Linked DNA regions of Macaca mulatta. The protein of the gene in region 2 interacts with the protein of the main gene of each other region in a pairwise test. Links are inferred from orthologs where the notes say so. Each region holds a gene or a part of one and is shown on either strand. Other genes may lie near its edges.

Region 1 (4,245 bases), about 35 Mb from region 2:
GAGGTCAAAGAGGGAGCTAGAGGCCACAGCTGGGGGTGCCTGTGCCACCGATGCGTGGCCAGGATCCAGCCACCAGGCGTCGACTGCCAGAGGTTCCTTCTCCTCCTCCTCCTCCCGTTTCCGCTTCAGACCCTTGCTCAGCATCTGCAGAGGGCAGGGAGTTATGGAGTTATAGTCAGTTATAGAAAACAAATGTTCAGTTCAAAGCCTGGATCTGACAGTTGCTACAGGTAGGATCTTGGGCAAGTCACTTAACCTCTCTGTGTCTAGCTTTTCCTAGGGAACTTTAAAGATATAGATAATTTTTATTTAATTGCATATGTATATTTATAAATTATTATTATTATTTTGAGATAGAGTCTCGCTCTGTTGCTCAGGCTGGAGTGCAATGCCGTGATCTCAGCTCATTGCAACCTCTGCCTCACGGGTTCAAGTGTTTCTCGTGCCTCAGCCTCCCCAAAAGCTAGGATTGCAGGCGCACGCCACCATATCTGGCTAATTTTTATATTTTTAGTAGGGGCGGGGTTTTACCATGTTGGCCAGCCTGGTCTCGACCTCCTGGACCTTAAGTAATCCGCCCACCTCTGGTTCCCAAAGTGCTGGGATTACAGGTGTGAGCCACCACACCCAGCCTATAGACTTTAAAAGAAATTTTTTTTTTTTTTTGAGACAGTCTCTCTCTCTGTTGCCCAGGCTGGAGTGCAGTGGCTCGATCTCGGCTCACTGCACGCTCCGCCTCCGGGGTTCACCCCATTCTCCTGCCTCAGCCTCCCACATAGCTGGGACTACAGGCGCCCGCCACCACGCCCGGCTAATTTTTGTATTTTTAGTAAAGATGGGGTTTCACCATGTTAGCCAGGATGGTCTCGATCTCCTGACCTCATGATCCACCCATCTCGGCCTCACAAAGTGCTGGGATTACAGGCATGAGCCACCGCGCCCGGCCTTAAATTTTAAATTTTGTATTTAAGTATATTTATAGACTTTTTAATCTGAAAAAAGAGATGGGGTCTCACTATATTGCCCAGGCTGGTCTCAAACCCCCTGGCCTGAAGTGATCCTCCCCCCTCAATCAATAAACACTCTTTTTTTCCCCCCTTTTATTTTTTGTAGAGACAAAGTCTTACTATGTTACCCAGGGTGGTCTCAAACTCTTTGCCTTAAGCCATCCTCCCGCCTCAGCCTCCCAAAGTACTGGGATTATAAGTGTGAGCTGCCATGCCCTGCCAATAAGTACACTTAATGATAACATTATTATTTCTTCAGTGAACCATGTGGAATGACCATTCAACTTTTTCCCCTACAAAAGCAGCTGTTTCATATATTATAATAACGTTATAAATAATTATATCTAAGTAAGTTATATTATAAATACTAAACTAGTTTCACATAGTTTAACACTTATTGTCTACTATGACGTTTCAAACAGTAAATAAATAAGCAAACACAGGAAATGTACGGAGAATTACAGGAAGACACTAAAAGGTCCTGGAGACCTTTTAGATGATCAGAGAAGGCTCCTGTAAGGAGGTGACATTTGAATGGAGCCCTCAGGCCAGAGAAGTCGGCCATGGGAGACCCTGGGAAAAGCATTCCGGGAGGAGGGAACAACAAAAAAAGGCAAAGAAAAGCCCAGAGGCTGGGGGAATGGGCACAAGCCAGGTCACAGAAAACCACATATGCATTAGTAGGGAGTTTGGATTTTATCCTGAGTGTGGTGGGCAGTCATTAAAGGAATTTGAGCACGGAGGGAATGGGGGTGTGAGCTGATTAGGTTTCCGGAAGATCCCCCCCATGGCTGCTTCGAGGAATACTGTAGGGGGCAAAAAGAGGGGGGATCTGAGACCCACTAGTAGGCTGTACTGGTTTGGGACTGACGATAGTGATGGCCTGGAGCAGGAGCTGGTAGTGGGTATGGAAGGAAGTCGGTCGAGTCAGGATTTCTTTGGGAGGCAGAATAGACAGGGCTTGTCGAGAAATCGTGATCGGCACCGGGGTCAGTCACTGAGATAAGTTTGAGGGTCCACTCTTTTCTTGGAGTGGCGGGGGTAGGGCTGGATGGAGTTTTGGACCCCTGGCGCTACCTACTTTTTTGGGCCAGGAAGACTTTAGAGTCCAGTTCCGGGACCCTGCCTAGCAAGATTTTAAGAGTGGCCCACCACACTACTCAAAACTGGGTCTTCGTCCCCTTCCCCGCAGTCCGTGGAGTCCGGAACCGCAGGAATTCCGCCCCCACCCCCGACTCCGCCCCCGAGTCCCGGCGCCCCCTGGCGGTGCCCAGGCCGGCTTTCCCCTGGGGATTCTGGCCCCTCTGACCCCAGAACCCCTTCTACTGCCCGGCTGTGATTCCTGCAGGCCTCCCGGCGCCGTGAGAGCCAGGACCCTAGGCGGGCTGTTCTCTGCGCCCGGCCTCCGCTCGCTTCCGGCAGTGGAGGCGGCTCCTCCCGAAGCGGCGGCGGCGGGGGCGGGTGAGTCACGCAGCCGGAGCCAAGGAGCCGGCGCCTCCGCCCCCTTCTCGGACTGCGGCGTGATTCACCCGGCCCGGCCGGGGCAGACAGCACGTAGAGGCCCGCGCGTCTCGATCCCGGGCAGCCCCGGCGGGCACCTGTCGGACCCAGGGATCGAACTCCGTGAAGGACCCGGCCGCTGGTACCCCTTTTCTTCCCAGGCCCCTTCATTTACATACCCTGCTCACTAGCGGCCAATCAGAACGAAGAGGTAGCCACCCACAACCAATCAGGAAACGGCAGCGGCAGCATCGCTTGCTCGCTCTCCTCCAGCAACCGGCGCCTGGGTCGCGAGACGCAGTTCTGACTTCGGCTCACGACTCCAGACTCCTAACTACCCTTAGCGACCGCCCACTCTCGTGGCTGCCCCGCCCTCCGCCCCAGGGATTGGCCCTCTACGGTGATGGGCGGAGCCTGTAAAGGGCGGATTCTGAAGGAGGGGCTTCTGGGCGCATGCCCGGGCAGCTGCGCGAGTGAGGGGTGGAAAGAGGTGGCTTTTTACTCTGGGGGACGGTGGCGAGTGGGAGCTTTTGCCTCTCAAAGTACGAGCCCCTCACAACTACCCATGCACCTGCCAAACCCGGCAATTAAGCTTCTTACACATCCACCCCCGACAGTGGTCTACACTACAGATATGCCCAGGTTCAAATTCCGACTCCTGATTCCCCACTCACTCGATGCGTGACCTTGGAAAAATGATCAACCTCTTCAAGCTACACAAAGTTAAATGGGGATCGTCTTGCATACCTCTTGACAAGAAAGTTTAAATAGGATCGTATCTATAAGAACACAATACCACACTCAAGCAATGCTGGACAGTTGGACTTAATTGTGGTTAAGGGCGGCAGTGAGGTGGGAGTGCGGAATCACATCCCGGGCTCCATTCCCTAAGCAGCTGTGTGACCTGGGGCAAGTGTTTTAATCCCTTCGGGTCTTTTTCTCCTTTAACATGAGAGAAAATAGCCCCTAGTTTAGAGGATTGTTTTAAGGATTAAATAAAACAATTCATGCAAAATCCTCAGAGTGGGGTGCAATGTGTTTTGTGGTTTTTTCATTTTATTTATTTATTTATTTATTTATTTATTTATTTATTTAAGACAGATTCTCACTCCGTCGCCCAGGCTGGAGTGCAGTGGCACGATCTCAGTTCACTGTAACCTCCGCCTCCCAGGTTCAAGCAATCATCCTGCCTCAGCCTCCTGAGTAGCTGGGAATACAGGGGTGTGCCACCATACCCGGCTAATTTTTGTATTTTTAGTAGAGGTGGGTTTTCACCTCGTTGGCCAGGCAGATCTCAAATTCCTCACCTAAGGTAATCCGCCCTCTCAGAGTACTGGGATTAGAGCCCTGAGATGCCGCGCCCAGCTGCCTTTTTTTTTTCTTTACTTTTTATTTTATTTTATTTTGTTTTTGAGACAGGGTCTCGCTCTGTCACCCAGGTTGGAGTGTAGGGGTGCCATCTCAACTCACTACAGCCTAGACCTCCAGGGTTCAAGCCATCCTCCTGCCTCAGACCCCCAAGCAGGTGGGACTACAGGCACATGCCACCGTGCCTGGTTAGCAACACGTTTCCTTGTTAGCAGTAATAGCTGTTGTAATAAGACAAGCTTTTAGTTCAAGATGAATAGACATGCAGGATGGGGCTAGAGGTAGACAGGGTATAATACTCCTCCCTTGGCTGGATGCAGTGGCTCACACCTGAATACTCTCTCACCTAGATTTAATTGATAGTTGTTGG
Region 2 (4,236 bases):
ATTAGCCAGGTTTGGTGGCAGGTGCCTGTAGTCCCAGCTACTTGGGAGGCTGAGGCAAGAGAATGGCGTGAACCCAGGAGGTGGAGCTTGCAGTAAGCCAAGATTGCGCCACTGCACTCCAGCCTGGGTGACAGAGCAAAACTTGGTCTCAAAAAAACACACACACACACACACAAACACAAAACAAACAAACAAACAAAAAATTAGCTTGGCATGGTTGTGCACACCTGTGGTCCCAGGTACCTGGGATGCTGAGGCAGGAGAATCGCTTGAGCCCAGGAGGCAGAGATTGCAGTGAGCCAAGATCATGCGACTGCACTCCAACCTGGGCAACAGAGTGAGACTCTATCTCAAAAAAATAAAACATCATAAAATAATAATAATAACATCAATGCACACCCCAGAACTTCATCTAGTTTGTTCATGTTCCCAGTGCAGTGATGCAATCACGGCTCACTACAGCCTCAAACTCCTGGGCTCAAGCAATCCTCCCACCTCAGCCTCCCGAGTAGCTGGGACCACAGGCATGAACCAACATGTCCAGCTAATTTTTGTATTTTTAGTAGAGACAGGGCCTTGCCATGCTGCTTAAGCTGATCTTGAACTCCTGGCGTCAAGCGAACCTCATGCTTTGCCTCCAAAAGTGCTGGGATTGCAGGTATGAGCCACCTCACCCAACCAAAACCGTATTTTTTTTTTGAGATGGAGTCTCGCTCTGTCGCCCAGGCTGGAGTGCAATGGTGTGATCTCGGCTCACTGCAACCTCTGCCTCCTGCGTTTTCAAGCAATTCTCCTGCCTCAGCCTCTGGAGTAGCTGGGATTACAGGCATGCACCACAACAGCAGGTTAAGTTTTGTAGTTTTAGCAGAGACGGGGTTTTGCCATGTTGGCCAGGCTGGTCTTGAACTCCTGACCTCAGGTGATCCACCTGCTTCGGCCTCCCAAAGTGCTGGGATTACAGGTATGAGCCAATTCACCCAGCCAAAATCTTTTTTTTTTTTTTAAATCTCAGATCCTGAGAATGACCATATGAGGTAGGTATAATGTAATTTTCATCTCATGAATGAGGTTCAGAGAAGTCAGGTGACTTGCCCAGGGCCACACAGCTAGTGGGCAGAGAGCTGGAATTTGAGCTGGAGTGTGCCCATAGCCCTTCCGCATACCCTCCCTGTCTCTTGAGTGTGGCCCGTAACCCCAGCCTCACCTGGTGGTGGCAGATGTGGCCTCCCCACTGAGGGCTTCTCTGTGATGTCCCACAGCCCTCATCCTCACCCATGGACACATTCAGGCTGTTGTCCAGAGAGCCTGGCTGTAATTTGAGTCTCACCAAGCAGGGGGTGACGGTGTGGGTGGGCGGGTGACAGCCAGGGCAGGGAGATTTGCCCAGACACTGGTACACAACAGCCTGGCAACCCGTGTGGCCCCGAGGAAGCTGGGAGCCTTCAGCGTGCATCCCCGAGTCTGGGCTGTGGTTCACACCATGGGCAACAAGCAGACAGTCTTCACACACGAGCAGCTGGAAGCGTATCAGGTAGAGGGGTCAGGAGGGGTCCTCAGTGGGTTTGACAGCTTTGGTTCCGTGGTCTGGGAAGTGGGAACAGAATCCCTTCATCCGGGTGTACCGTCTGCCTGGGTTCCTGGTTCGTTCGGCTCTGTGTGTGGCAGCATTGGGCCATCTGTGTGAGTGTGGGGTGGAGGGAGGAGGCCATGGGAGGAGGCCCCAGAGGCAGGGTTTGGGTTAAGACAACACCTCTCTCCACAGGACTGCACGTTTTTCACAAGGAAGGAGATCATGAGGTCAGTCCAGGGAGGTGGAGAGAAAAGATCTGGAAAAACAACTTTCTATTCATTGCTGGAGGATATTTGCAATTTGGGGTGTGTGTGTGTGTGTGTGTATGGTCCTTCTTCCCTTCTTCCCTTCTTCCCTTCTTCCCTTCTTCCCTTCCTCCCTTCCTCCTTTCCCCCCTCCTCCCTTCCTCCCTTTCTCCCTTTCTCTCTTTCTCCCTTTCTTTCCTCTTTCGTTCCCCTCCCTCCCTCCCTCCCTCCCTCCCTCCCTTCCTTCTTTTCTTTTTTGTTTGAGATAGGTCTCTATTGCCTAGGCTGGAGTGCAGTAGTGCAATCGCGGCTCATTGCAGCCTCGATCTCCGAAGATCAGGTGATCCTGCCACCTCAGCCTCTCGAGTAGCTGGGACCACTGGTGCGAGCCGCCATGTGCACCTCATTTTTGTATTTTTTCGTAGAGATGGGAGTCTCACTACGTTGCCCAGGCTGTTCTTAAACCCCTGGGCTCAAGCAATCCACCTGCCTCAGCCTTCCAAAGTGCTGGAATTACAGGTGTGAGCCACCATGCCCAACTGGTATTTCCAATTTGATGGGACTCAAATGGGGAAGGGGGGCAGGTGTGGTCAGTGCATGGAGGCAGAGATGGAAAAGCTGAGAAGTCACATCTTGTCACATTGTCCCAGTCTGTAGGCTGATGAGCTTGGGCTTTCTCCCAAGGGTGGCAGGGAGCCATGGAGCATGCATGAGCAGGGCAGAGAGCATCAGCTTGTTAGAAAGAGTCTCCTGAGGCTGGGCACGGTGGCTCACGCCTGTAATCCCAGTACTTTGGGAGGACAAGGCAGGTGGATCACCTGAGGTCAGGAGTTTAAGATCAGCCTGGCCAACACGGTGAAACCCCGTCTCTACTAATAATACAAAAATCAGCTGGGCGTGGTGGTGGGCGCCTGTAATCCCCGCTACTCGGGAGGCTGAGGCAGGAGAATTGCTTGAACCTGGGAGGCGGAGGTTGCAGTGAGCCGAGATCACGCCGCTGCACTCCAGCCTGGGTGACAGAATGAGACTGCGTCTCAAAAAAACAAAATGAAAGATAAAGATTCTCCTGAGACTGGGACTTGAGGCTGGGAGCCCAGGTGCAAAGTCCAGAGCCCACTACGGGTTGCAGGCTTGGCATTAAGGTGAGGGTATGGGGAGGTGGCCCAAGGCTGCTGCATGTCCCTGGTGTGACCGAGCACGATGGGCACAGATGAGAATCCCATATCATCACTCAGCCTGTGGGGCCATTGTCCAGGGGCCCCGGCCCATGAACTTGGAGCTGTGAAACCCAAGCTGGCCAGGGTTCGGCTGCAGTGTGATCGGGGCCAAGGCCCCAATTGTGTAGTAACAGGACATCCATTATTGATGGCCACACCTTTTACTCGTGAGCCCCATTGTCTGGGTGAGGACAGCTTGCAGGGTCACCTTGGCCATCATGATCAAATTACCGATGGGGAAACTGAGGCTCAGACAGGGTAGGGCTGACCCCAGGCTGAAGGGTAGATGCACAGAGCCCCAAGGCGGTTGAAGGCTGACATTTCGTCTGTCCCAAACTTCTTGCTTATCAGATAGAATAACCAAGGCACAGAGCGGGAGAGGAACTTGCTCAGAGCCATACAGAAACCTAAACCCAGGATATTCCCTGAGGGGACCCCGACAGGGAACTGAGTGGTCAGGAGGGAAGTTCTAGGTCTCCCCACCCTACCTTCATTGAATTCCTAGTCATCATATGACCCAGGGACTCGTGTCTCTCTCAGAGAGAGTCCCTAGCAGCTTGGGAACCTCAGACCCACCAAGGATGGTCTCTGCAAGGCTGCTGCTCAGCATGCCCTAATGAAGGTATGGTGTCACCAGGTGAGGGTGTCTGAGTGGAGAACTGGCCTTACAATCTAGATAGTGTGTGTGGTATTCAGTTATTTGCAAAATGCCTTTTGTCTGCCCTTTAGAAAAACGTGAATATTAGCTGTGTGCCTCTGCTCTGACCCGTTTGAGGAAACCGTCCCCCCCCTTTTTTTTTTTTTTTTTTTTTTTTGAGATGGAGTCTCATTCTTGTTGCCCAAGCTGGAGTGCAGTGGCATGATCTCGGCTCACTGCAACCTCCTCCTCCCGGGTTCAAGTGATTCTCCTGCCTCAGCCTCCCAAGTAACTGGGATTACAGGTGCCTGCCGCCATGCCCAGCTACTTTTTTGTATTTTTAGTAGAGATGGGGCTTCACCATGTTGGCCAGGCTGGTCTCGAATTCCTGACCTCTGATGATCCGCCCACTTCAGCCTCCCAAAGTGCTGGGATTATAGGTGTGAACCACGGCACCCAGCCCCTTCCTCCCATTATGAGGAGAGGAACGGAATGTATGAAAGTGAAGGTATCTTTGGAGGCAGGGTCTTGCTGATAACATGACGATATCCAGAGATGTGTGGATTA
Region 3 (4,148 bases), on a different chromosome or scaffold from region 2:
AGCTCCTTTAGATTTATTTATTTTATTTTATTTTTTGAGACGGAGTTTCACTCTTGTTGCCCAGGCTGGAGTGCAATGGTGCGATCTCGGCTCACTGTAACCTCCGCCTCCCAGGTTCAAGTGATTCTCCTGCCTCAGCCTCCTGAGTAGCTGGGATTACAGGCATGCACCACCACGCCTGGCTAATTTTGTATTTTTAGTAGGTTTCTCCATGTTGGTCAGGCTGGTCTCAAACTCCCAACTCAGGTGATCCGCCCACCTCAGCCTCCCAAAGTGCTGGCATTACAGACATGAACCATTGGCCCAGCCACAGCTCCTTTAGATTTCTAACTGGTGTCTCTGCACCCCTCTGGCCCTTTATAATCCATAAGGAGCCAAATGGCTTATTTTAAAAACATGTATCAGATCATATCAAGTTCCAGAATAAAATCCAAACTCCTTTCTACTGTCTTCAAGGCCCTATCCCTCTGTCCTCGTGTCACTGCCCATGCGGTATCACTGTGGTCACCCTGCCTTCAATTTCCTTCTAGCACTGTTGGGCTCTTTCTTGCCTTAGAGCCTTTCAATCTTCCTATGGCTGGCTCCTTTCAGGCATTTCGTTTTCAGCTCACATTTGTCTTTTGGTTTTCCATAGCACTCACCACCATCTAAAGTTATAATAGTTAACAACTTTATTACTCATTTCTTGTCTGCCCATGTAAAATGGAAATTGACAGCAAGGACTTTGTTCTGTCCTGTTCACCATTTTACCCCTAGTTCAGAGACCAATGCCCAACACACACTGGGCACTCAGTAAACACTGTGGAATAAATAGATTGTGCCATGAAGCTCGCAGTCTTCAGTTCGTACAGACAAGGGACAGAGGTGCACAGACTGTAGCAGAAAAGCTCCAGCCCTCCCAAAGCTTATGGCAACTCCCGACCTGATAGAGTGCTGGTGGAGGCTCTCCTGTCGGCAGACGCCCTACACCCAGCCTTGCCTCTCTCTCCAGCCTCCTCCTGGGTGGAGTCTGAGACCTGGGGGTCCTCAGCCCCTACTTGGGTGAAACAGTTGCTCAGACTGAAGGGTGGAATGGGTGGGTTGGGTGGGCGGACCAACTTCCTTTAGGAAGCGTTCAAGGCCTAAGGTGGCTGTCCGTGATGCCGCCTTGGTTGGGGTGGGCAGCCTAGGGCAGGGCTGCGGGGGCGGCGCAGGGCGGGACGGGTGGGGCTGACTCCGCCCCCTGGCGCAGTTGTAAGTAGGTAAATAGAAGGTGATTGTGGCGTGGCGATGTCCCGATACCCGCCTGCGACGCCGTGGTGGCTGGTTTCCTGTCTGTTCAGTAGAGTCTAGACCCCACCCAGTCTTCATGTACAACCGACCGCGGGCTGAGATGGAACAGGAGGCTGGGGAGCTGAGCCGATGGCAGGTGGCGCACCAGGCTGCCCAGGTGAGTCAGGTGTCAGCTCCTGGCAGGCCGGGGGCGGGCCCAGGCTAGGGGGCGGCGGGGAGAGGAGGCCGTGTAGGAGAAGGGAGGCAGAGGGAAGCAGAAACCCGAGGGGTGGAAATCCGAGGGGAGGGGTTGCAAAGGAAGGAATGGGAGATTGGGGAGGGGCTGCAAAGGGAGGGATGCGAGATTGGGGAGGGACTGGAAAGGGAGGGTTGTGAGATTGAGGGTGTAAATCATACGTCGTTTATTCCAATAATGTTCGCCCAGCAGTAGAGCTTGTGTTGGGTGCATCGGGGGTAAGAGGGTTCCAGGCAACTTTCTGGCGAGGGATTTGAGTAGGCAGGACAGCAAAGACCAAGTTAAGAAGTGAGCAGAAAATGACAGGAAAAAAAAAATGTTAATTGGAGCCCTACTAAGTGGTAGGCTTTTTCCAGACCGTGGAAATACAATGATGAATTTACCATGAAACAGATATATATAAAATTTTATTAATAAATCGTTAGCTGAATGATTGGAATTGTACGGCGTTACATGAAGGAGAAGTCGGGGGCGCATGGGAGCAGATACCAGAGGTGTTTGACCCGATTTGGGAGGCTTAATGACAGCTGAGACTCTGTTCTGGGACTAGAGAACCGGTCAGGTGAAGGGTTCCCCGGTCTAAGACCACAGGCTGTATGCTTCCTCTTAGGAGGAACTGAAAGACCAGGGCCTAGACAGTGATGGGAGGGTGGCCCCAGGGACACATTGAGATCATTCAGGGCTTGTTTATTCCAAGAGCAGTGGGAAGCCATTGATGAGTTTAAACAGTCTGTCTCAATTAGATTTGCATTTTCAAAGGAGTGTCCTGGTGGATGTGGGCTGGATTCAAGGCAATAGTTAGAAAGCTTTTGTGATAATCCAGGTGAGAATTCAAATGGCGGCCTACCTAGAGAAGTGAGAGTGGAGATGGAGAAGCTAGATGTATCATAGATTGTGGAGATGTTTTGGAGACAGGGATCACAATCATTGCTTCCAAGTGGTGAGGGAGACATCTAGAGTAACAGATTTCTTGCTTGCACAATTGAGTGACAGCAGTGATATTTTCTGAGCGAGAAAGAAGGGTGAGAAGGACTAGGTTAATCCGTTGTTTGGGGGAGGTGGGCAAAGATGATAGTGAATTTTGGACACAGTCCATTGGAAGAACCCGTGGGCCATCCAAAAAGACCCAAACAATAGCTAGCTGGAAAATGCAGGAGCCATCTTCGCCAGAGCCATAGATTTAGGAATAGTTGGATTGTAAACAGAAACAGATCCACTGGCATGGGGAAGCTTGCCCAGAGAGAGTAGAGGAAGAGAAATCTGCAAAAGAGACTGTGAAGGAGGGGGTCTGAGAGAAAGGAAGGAGAAAAGGTCGGAAAGTGTGTCCATGCGTGTGAGAGGCCAAGGGAAGCATTATAGGAAGGGTGTGGCCAGTGGTCCTATAAACTGAGAGGTCAAGCCAGGAGTCTGGAAAGTGCTGCTTGGTCATAGTGGGATGGAAGTTGTCACTGGTGACCTTTATGCAAGCTGGCTCTGTGGAGAGATGGAGGCCAGAGCAAATTTGGGAGAATCATAAGGCAAAGTAGTGGTGAAGGCCTGTTTAGACAACTTAATTTGCCATGAAGGACTGGGAAAATGAGAGGGCCATTGCTAAGAGTTAGGGAAGACAGGCTGAGCACCCCAGAGGGGCCCACCCAATAGTCATTTACCTAGTTCCTATTATATGTCTGTCTTATGCTAGTTGCTGAGCATATAGTGGTAAATAAAACTGATAAGGCCAGGCACGGTGGCTCACACCTGTAGTCCCAGTGGCCCGGGAGGCTGAAGCAGAAGGATTGTTTGAGCTCAGGAGTTTTAGGCTGTGGTGCACCGCAATCACGCTTGTGAATAGCCACTGCACTCCAGCCTGGGCAACATAATGAGATCCTGTCTCTAAAATTATTTAAATTAAAAATAAAACAAGATCTTCCCAACTCTTCTAGAGTTTTTTTAAAAAAGAACATTTTCCTCTATAGCCAAAACCACATAATCAAATGTATCAAAATTGTATATATATATATATATGTATATGTGTATATATGTGTATATATATATACACTGTTTTTTGAGACAGGGTCTTGGTGCTGTTGTCCAGGCTGGGATGCAGTGGCGCCATCTCGGCTCACTGCAACCTCTGCTTCCCAGGTTCAAGCAATTCTGGTGCCTCAGCCTCCCCCCAAGTAGCTGGGATTATAGGCGTGTGCCACTCCACCCAGCTAATTTTTTGTATTTTCAGTAGAGAGGTTTTGCTATGTTTGTCAGGCTGGTCTCAATCTTCTGCCCTCAAGTGATTTACCCGCCTCAGCCTCCCAAAGTGCTGGGATTACAGGAGTGAGCGGCCACACCCAGCTGATAATTCCTTTAAATCATCTTAGATGCAAGCCTTATTCAAATGCCCCTAGCTATTCCTAAAATGTACTTCGTAGCTGGAATGTCCAACCAGAATTTAAGACCATACACTGTATCTGGTGATTATGTCCCTTGAGTCTCTGAAATTAGAATAGTTTTATTTTTTCATGATTGGGATTCAGTTTTTCATGATACTGACTTTTGTCTTATAGCATGTTCCTTTCAGATATATCAGATTGCTTCCTCATGGTAGCATTTAGCTTTATCTTCTATCACTTGTATTACCTTTAAGTTATGATTAGAACTTACAGCT

The links.
Region 1: the proteins of CIB3 (region 2) and SERTAD1 interact in binary tests that used the Homo sapiens proteins (3 or more experiments, as listed by UniProt). The two-hybrid records come from large-scale screens. The link is inferred for Macaca mulatta from reciprocal best matches to the Homo sapiens genes CIB3 and SERTAD1.
Region 3: the proteins of CIB3 (region 2) and KLF17 interact in binary tests that used the Homo sapiens proteins (3 or more experiments, as listed by UniProt). The two-hybrid records come from large-scale screens. The link is inferred for Macaca mulatta from reciprocal best matches to the Homo sapiens genes CIB3 and KLF17.

The regions. Positions count from the first base shown.
Region 1 is NC_133424.1:51,532,120-51,536,364, forward strand, and holds the start of SERTAD1 (SERTA domain-containing protein 1), read right to left. Parts: upstream 2,801-4,245; 5' UTR 2,687-2,800; intron 145-2,686; coding exon 1-144. UniProt on the Homo sapiens protein: Acts at E2F-responsive promoters as coregulator to integrate signals provided by PHD- and/or bromodomain-containing transcription factors. Stimulates E2F1/TFDP1 transcriptional activity.
Region 2 is NC_133424.1:16,649,721-16,653,956, reverse strand, and holds the start of CIB3 (calcium and integrin-binding family member 3), read left to right. Parts: upstream 1-1,436; 5' UTR 1,437-1,480; coding exon 1,481-1,531; intron 1,532-1,762; coding exon 1,763-1,797; intron 1,798-4,236. UniProt on the Homo sapiens protein: Acts a an auxiliary subunit of the sensory mechanoelectrical transduction (MET) channel in hair cells. Plays a role in regulating hair cell MET channel localization and function.
Region 3 is NC_133406.1:196,521,081-196,525,228, reverse strand, and holds the start of KLF17 (Krueppel-like factor 17), read left to right. Parts: upstream 1-1,348; coding exon 1,349-1,429; intron 1,430-4,148. UniProt on the Homo sapiens protein: Transcription repressor that binds to the promoter of target genes and prevents their expression. Acts as a negative regulator of epithelial-mesenchymal transition and metastasis in breast cancer.